Linked DNA regions of Cricetulus griseus. The protein of the gene in region 1 interacts with the protein of each later gene in a pairwise test. Links are inferred from orthologs where the notes say so. Each region holds a gene or a part of one and is shown in the gene's direction. Other genes may lie near its edges.

Region 1 (3,825 bases):
TTGAAAATTCTGTTTGTACTGTTGAGTTGAAATAACTGTCTGCATTTATATTTGGATTCTCATAGTGGAAAATTATATTCTAGGTCTGCTTTGCCTGTGTAGATGGGAAAGAATTCCGTCTTGCTCAGATGTGTGGACTTCATATTGTAGTACATGCAGATGAATTAGAGGAACTTATCAACTACTATCAGGTAACGAACACCAGACCTTTATATGGATTGAGATCTTTGTATAGATATTCTGTCCTCTAATTGCACATTTCCCTTGTTTAGGATCGTGGATATTTTGAAGAACTCATTACCATGTTGGAGGCAGCCTTGGGACTAGAACGAGCTCACATGGGAATGTTTACCGAACTAGCTATTTTGTATTCTAAATTCAAGCCACAGAAAATGAGGGAACACCTGGAGTTGTTCTGGTCGAGAGTGAATATTCCTAAGGTAACAATCTTCACCACTGTAAGGCAGCTCTAATCATTTAGGCTGATAGCAGGAGTTGGGCTTACATCTTACACGACTGGTCTATGTTGTGCAGGTGCTGAGAGCTGCAGAACAAGCCCACCTTTGGGCAGAGCTGGTGTTCCTGTATGACAAGTATGAAGAGTATGATAATGCCATAATCACCATGATGAACCATCCCACTGATGCATGGAAGGAAGGGCAGTTCAAAGACATCATCACCAAGGTATATACCTTCAGAGATATGGGCTGTGGAAAGACAGGGCTCGTTGGGGACGAACTGGCTTTTAATGCATGGGTTTCTCCTATTTTAGGTGGCCAATGTGGAGCTGTACTACAGAGCAATCCAGTTCTACTTAGAATTCAAGCCTCTGTTGTTAAATGACTTGCTTATGGTGCTGTCTCCACGGTTGGATCACACTCGTGCTGTCAATTATTTCAGCAAGGTAACCATTTCAAACCGACTTCATAGTGAAGATTCATAGACCTTCAACCATGGCTATCTTTCTAACAAACTTTATTTTAAAGGTTAAACAGCTACCACTGGTGAAACCATATTTACGCTCAGTTCAGAACCACAACAACAAATCTGTGAATGAGTCACTGAACAACCTCTTTATTACAGAAGAAGATTACCAGGTAAAACCTTTGGATTCTTGTAAATACTTAAAACATGGTTCTGATTAGGTTTAAAGTTGGCTTTAAACAGGTTCTGTGGTAAAAGCTACTGTTACCTTTACATTTATAAAGAAGCAGGCACGTGGGTGCCTAGGCTTCTTCAGTTAGTCCATAAAACTTACTTGTTATTAAGTACTTAACTATTACTTTTCTTTAAAAAAAAAAAAAACTATTACTTTTCTTTATTTTAGTATTTGTCTCATATTTTAGTATTTGTCTTTTAAATTTGCTTTTGTGAAAGATAGCACATAAATAGAAAATGTCTAGGTTAAGCTAGTTGCCTTGTTTTCTTTCACTTAATAATTGTTGACCTGACTGGAACTTGCCTAGTAGTGCATAAAGTGCAGTCTTGCCTCAGAATCTGGCTTCTGGATCAGCATGATTCCTTTAGGCTCATAGTCTAGCCTGTAAGGCTGAATATCATGTAATTTTATGAATTATTTCCTGGCAGCATAAGTTGTTGTCCATATTACATATTCTCCCAGCTCCATAGCTATTCAAGTTAGTATCAGTACTGGAAACCTTGGAGCAGATTGCCCTTTCAGAAAATTGTGCAGTACATTTGAGGATTTTATTTATTGTATTAGAAGTAGATGAAGAAGATTGACATCTGAATCCAGCTTACAACTTTTGTAGTTTGATGCTTGAATCTATGTTGTTATATTTTATGCTATCATCTAATTGCCTGCATCAAAATGAATTGTGAAAAATAAATGTTAAAAGTAAAAGCCTTTTTGACTTTTGAATTGCTTTGTCTCTTAAGGCTCTACGAACATCAATAGATGCTTATGACAACTTTGACAATATCTCACTTGCTCAGCGTTTGGAAAAACATGAACTCATTGAATTCAGAAGAATTGCTGCTTATCTCTTCAAAGGCAACAATCGCTGGAAACAGAGCGTAGAGCTGTGCAAGAAAGACAGCCTTTACAAGGTTGATAAAGTGGGGGTGGGCTGTCCAATCAACTCAGATAGTGTCTTACAAGTGTTAGTTTCATGGGTATGAGAATTGGTAGTGTAACTCTCTTTTGTGAATGTGGTCTTTTAGTCAGTGGGGTTTTGTTTTGTTTTGTTTTGTTTTTTAACTTCCAGGACTGGTTTGTGTCAGCATCCTTGGATAAACCTCTAACCTTCATTGTTTCTCTGAATAGGACGCGATGCAGTATGCCTCTGAATCTAAAGATACAGAATTGGCTGAAGAACTCCTACAGTGGTTTTTGCAGGAAGAAAAAAGAGAGTGCTTCGGGGCTTGTCTCTTTACCTGTTATGATCTTTTAAGGCCAGATGTCGTCCTGGAAACGGCATGGAGGCACAATATCATGGATTTTGCCATGCCCTATTTCATCCAGGTCATGAAGGAATATTTGACCAAGGTAATGACGCTTAGAAGTATATTCAAAACTAATAATCTTGAGAATATGTGCAATTCTACATGCATATTAGTTTTATTTTTTCTAATATAAATTGTTTAGTTGATCATAAAATGTTCCTATTACATAGAATTTTTCTTAAGTGTTGACAGATGCCATGACTAGGAAGGGAACTCAAGCTTGTCATTGTTTACCCTCTCTGTATTCTTCAAGTGAATAGCACTCTCTGTTTTAATATTTGAGATCTTTTAAAATAGCATTTTAAAATTAATTCCTATAACTCAGATTTCCATATATACTTCTGTAGACTCCCTTTGGTTTCTGACTTCATGTCTTTACCTGTTTCCCATGGGGAAGCTCTGTTGTATTAACAGCCTGCTAGTCATCACAGATTTTTTTTTTGGTAATCAGATATCTAATTTAAAAATACAATAGGAAATTTGCAATTACCCATGTTTCCTAAATACACATTAAATAAACTGAGGAGACAGCCACTTTATAAAATTTACTGTTCATGTTAGCATCTCTTTTTAATGTTAGAATAGATTTTGCTTGTCCTGAGTTACTAGCTATGCATAGAAAAATAATATTAAAAGATCCATTTTTGTCAGAACAAATCAAGTCTCACTTCTGTTCTCTTCAGCATGCCTGAGTACAAGTGGGGGAAACACTACAAATAAACCCCAGGATAGAAAGTTTTTTCCTCAAGGGATCACCTACCTACATACCTCATGTTGCACTTAGATTTTTTTTTAAGGGAATAATATTTTATGTAAGTTCAGTTCAGTGTGATTAAAAGAGTTACCCCAGTTTAGCCCCAGGGGAGCCAAGCTTCTTTTCTTATGCATAATGCCACCTTTTGAGACCTGGCTGCTGTTAACCTAAGTGCTGTCCATTACTAGCCATTAAGCTGCTTCCTTTCACACTGACTTAGCATAAATACTTCTGCAGTGAGCTTTGAAGTTAAAAGGATTCTCAATTTTGCTTCCGTTTGCCCTTGACTTCCACTTCGCTCCTACCTTTTTTAGTGGGTACATGTTTCTCCCCTGAACCTTTGTTGCTGATTCTACCTTTTTATGCTCAATATGGAATTTGATTTTTTTCTAAGCTGCACCTTCTGAATTCCTTTGCAGGTTGATGCAATAAAGGAAAAGGTGAAAGTTGATTCTTTTCCATCTTTAAGTCTGGAGGACTAAGTCTAAGGAATTTGCATGATTTTTTTCCTTCCTTTTCTACACTGCTGCTGCTGCTTTCCCCCCAATAAATTTTCACTAAGCCTCTGCAAGTCCCTTGAAACATAACTATAATAGAGCTGTAGG
Region 2 (3,825 bases), on another chromosome or scaffold:
TGAAAATTGAAGTGCCAGCCTCCAGCCTCCATGTTGCTTATATTTTAGTGGGACAAGACAGATGATAATCAGATTTACTGATTATATAAATTTTATATAGACTGTAGTCTCTGGTCACCAGTGGTACAGACCTTTAATCCCAGGACTTGGGAGACAGAGGTAGAGGCAGGTGGATCTCTATGAGTTCAAGGCCAGCCTAATCTACACAGCAAGGTCTAGGACAGGTATGGCTACATAGAGAGACCCTATCTGAAAATACAAACAGACAAAAATATACTGTAGTCAATGATGAGAAAGGCTCTTGGGATTATACAATATAAAGGAGACAGTGGAGCCCAGTATGGTGTCACACACTCAGCTAGGTCTATGTAGTGAATCCCAGACCATCCAGTAAGGGAAGTAATAATGAGGTAGAATATAAATTTAATGAGCATTTACTTAACTGTTGAGGACTGACATATATTTGGTATCACACTCAGTGTTTATAGAGCCTGTTTTTTTATTGACCTGTGTCTTTGTGACAGGGGTCTATGTATCTTTCAAAGTGAATAATTTTTGTGACTGTTCTGTGGAGCATGTGTTAATCTGAACAGTTTTCAATTAGGGAATCCCTCTGGCATGTGTGAAAGCTTGTGTAAATGTTCCTAATTCATTATTCTTAGCACTTAGTGATACTTAGTGGCTATTTTGGCACAAAAACCTCCATGCAAAGTTATCTTACCATCCTCTGGTTTAGTCTTAGCATTTGCCTATGGTTGCGCAGGTTATGAAATAGAAAAATTCAAAATTTGAACTCAGGTGTGTCTGATTTAAAGCCCTTCCCTTTATGCCACACATGACGTGTCTTTTGGTTCAGGAACATGCACAGCCTAAACTGTCATAGTGGTGGGAATACGGCTTAGTGTCGAGCACTGACCTAGCATGAATGAGACCCTGGTTACTATTCTCTCAGTACCCCAGAGTGAGTGAGAAGACACCATAAACAAAAATGGAAAATCTGTGGTAATAAAAGCCAGGAGAGCTGGGTTCCAAAGCTTGACTTACGCCACTAAGTATCCTTCACCCTGTTAGAAACTCACCCCGAACTCCACTTTTTATGTAAACCACCAGTTATTACGTGTTAAGTAGTTCTGGGATCACATCCCTTCATTTCTAAACTACAAAAGACTGAAGAATGGGTAGGATTTAGACAAATGCTGTATGGGCATCTGGACAGTTTTATTTTATATTAAATAATATTAATGCCAACTGGGGAATGCTAGGATTGAGGGCTCTTAGGATACAGAGGATTCAGACCTGGGCCCTTGAGCATGCTAGTCAAGTGCTCTACTACCAAGCTATACCCACAGCCAGCTGTGGCTTGTTTTTAATTCCTTAGACCAAGTAAACAAAGATTTCATGTTCTTTATGTGTATTTTATGGCTTGGGAAGGATTTCTATATTTAAATAGTTGATATTTGCCTCATGATACATTGGAATTTATTTTCTAAGTTTGACTACTGTAAAGAAAACTTTAAATGCACTTGAAGTTAATTTTAGACTCTTGAATGCCCTGTCTTGCTTTGGTAATATTAAGAAGTCATCTTAAGTGATGGTTGTTTTTAATACCACTGTCATTCCCTGGAATGTTTTTGTTTCATGATAGTTGCTGTCCTTCGGTGAAAAGCAGTGTGTGCTCATCAGTAAAGTTGTGGTGCACGTGAGACCAAGGTCAGCAAATCCTTCACCAAGCTCTTCTGCTCTAGGATCACGGATAGACCTTGACAGTATCCAAACCATAATGGAGTCCATGGGGTCAAAGTTATCTCCTGGAGCTCAGCAGCTGATGAATATGATTAGGTTTCAGCAGCAGGCAAGTAAAGATGTATTTTGTTAAATTTTAAAATGCTGGTTTGGGGAGATGGTTCAGTCGGTAAAAGACTTGCTGTGCAAGCCTGAGCACCTGAGTTTGGATTCATAGAGTCCATGTAAAAACAGGAGGCATTATTAAATGTGTCTGTAATTTCTGTATTCCTACAAAAAGATGGGAGGTGAAGGCCTGATGTTCACAGGCCAGTTAGTCTGGTATATACCAGTGGGTTTAGACCTTGTTCAAAAGAGGTGGAAGATGAGAACTTGAGTAAATCCTCTGACTTCATAGCTCCCCTGCTTCCAAATACACACACACACACACACACACACACACACACACACACACACACAGTGCCCCTCCAAAAAACTCCACATTTTTAATACTGACCTTTAATATGACAATATAGTATATTAATTTTTCTCTTAGTTTCTACTATTGTTTTAACTGTCATCTATTTTTAATTTTTAAAAAAAGTCACATTTTGTAGACTTGCCTTTCTACAAATGTTCTAACTGCATAGCTTCAGTTTTCCCCAAATTCATTTTATGTGTTCATTTGGCAGAGAACAAGACTCTGACTTGCTCCCTTTTGAAGGAATAAAGGTGATCAGATAGTGTGTAGCCAGTCTTTAAGCTTTCTATCTGGGGAGTGATGAGATTAAGGGAGGTATACTGAAATAAGAGGCATTTCATCTGGGCTGTTAAAGAGGAAGGTGGAGTTAGTCAGGTCCATCTAGAGCTTGGTTACTTTAGAGAGATGCTAGTAATGGATAAGATCTTCAGTGCTAGAAGGAGTAGGATCTAGCTGAGAAATGAAAGGTGGTGAGTAGAGAGTAGAAATTTAAAGATTCATACTCGATCATGGAGATATAGCACATAGAGAGTTCATTTAAGTTTGTAAATGTCTTTGGCCTATTTTTAAAGAGATTTTATTCCACTATTAATGTGGAAGGTAAGTCAAAGGAAAGTAAGACTATAACAGAGAAACCAGCAGTATGTGATTTCCCTCACCCAGCTAAGAGGTGATGGAGTCTAGGCTAAATGTTGTAACATGATACTAGGTTGGGAGATTAATAAACCATGAAGCATAGAGTCATTGGGACTATACCGTTAATTAAAGGAGAAAAATAAAGTCACATGAGAAATTGAGGCTTTGAGGATGGCATTACCAGAAATATAGATGGAGCCAATGGGATGAGGACACTTGGTAAAAGGAGTCTAATTTGGGGAATATCAAATATAGCTGTGAACAGGGATTGCCTGGAAGGATATTTTAGCATTTGTAGACAGGATCAGGAGAGAAGGAGGTAGCTGTCTAAAAGGGAGGTTTGGGTGATGTACCCACAGTAGGAACCCTGTGAACAGAGAGGCTGAAACTAGAAAGAAAGACTCTTGGAGAGAAGCTATAATCTAGCAAAATATGGGGAGAGGAAGGAGGCACCAGAAGAACAGAAGGCACTGGTGTGATCAAAGAGAGGTTTTAATGTCAGGTTAGCTGAAGCTAAGCTGTTGTTCTGTCACTCAGTAGTTCTGTTTCCCTCAGCAAGGTCAGCCACATTTTTTTAACTAATGAAATTCTCTTTTACAAAATTTAAGTGATACCATTGTAAAGACCACAGTATTGATGTGGAAATTTAAGGCAAATACTGCAAAAATTTGTAAATGTTGCATGGTTTCATTGCTGGAGTCAGGGCAGTCCTGGGGTATGGGCAGAGGAAAGAGAACCAGGAGAATTGAGGGTTTTAACCTTTAAAAGCATTTTAACACAAGTGACAGTCTTGGCTATGGCTGCTTGGATCCCTTTTCCAGACATTCTGATGTTCCTATTCCTTACATGTTGCCACCTCTGGGCCTATGTATTCAATTGTTTGAATTCTTTGTTTTGTTTTCTTTGGCTAGAATTCTTCTCCTGTGATATTGTACTATTCTCTTACTCTAATTTCACCTTAGCCACAATAGTCTTAATTAGATATT

What was found.
Region 2: the proteins of Cltc (region 1) and C3H10orf88 interact in binary tests that used the Homo sapiens proteins (3 or more experiments, as listed by UniProt). The link is inferred for Cricetulus griseus from reciprocal best matches to the Homo sapiens genes CLTC and C10orf88.

What each region holds. Positions count from the first base shown.
Region 1 is NC_048600.1:99,942,391-99,946,215, reverse strand, and holds part of Cltc (clathrin heavy chain 1), read left to right. Parts: intron 1-83; coding exon 84-191; intron 192-272; coding exon 273-440; intron 441-534; coding exon 535-684; intron 685-772; coding exon 773-904; intron 905-986; coding exon 987-1,097; intron 1,098-1,899; coding exon 1,900-2,070; intron 2,071-2,287; coding exon 2,288-2,509; intron 2,510-3,639; coding exon 3,640-3,660; intron 3,661-3,825. UniProt on the Homo sapiens protein: Clathrin is the major protein of the polyhedral coat of coated pits and vesicles. Two different adapter protein complexes link the clathrin lattice either to the plasma membrane or to the trans-Golgi network.
Region 2 is NC_048596.1:69,504,142-69,507,966, forward strand, and holds part of C3H10orf88 (ATPase PAAT), read left to right. Parts: intron 1-1,645; coding exon 1,646-1,852; intron 1,853-3,825. UniProt on the Homo sapiens protein: ATPase that regulates mitochondrial ABC transporters ABCB7, ABCB8/MITOSUR and ABCB10. Regulates mitochondrial ferric concentration and heme biosynthesis and plays a role in the maintenance of mitochondrial homeostasis and cell survival.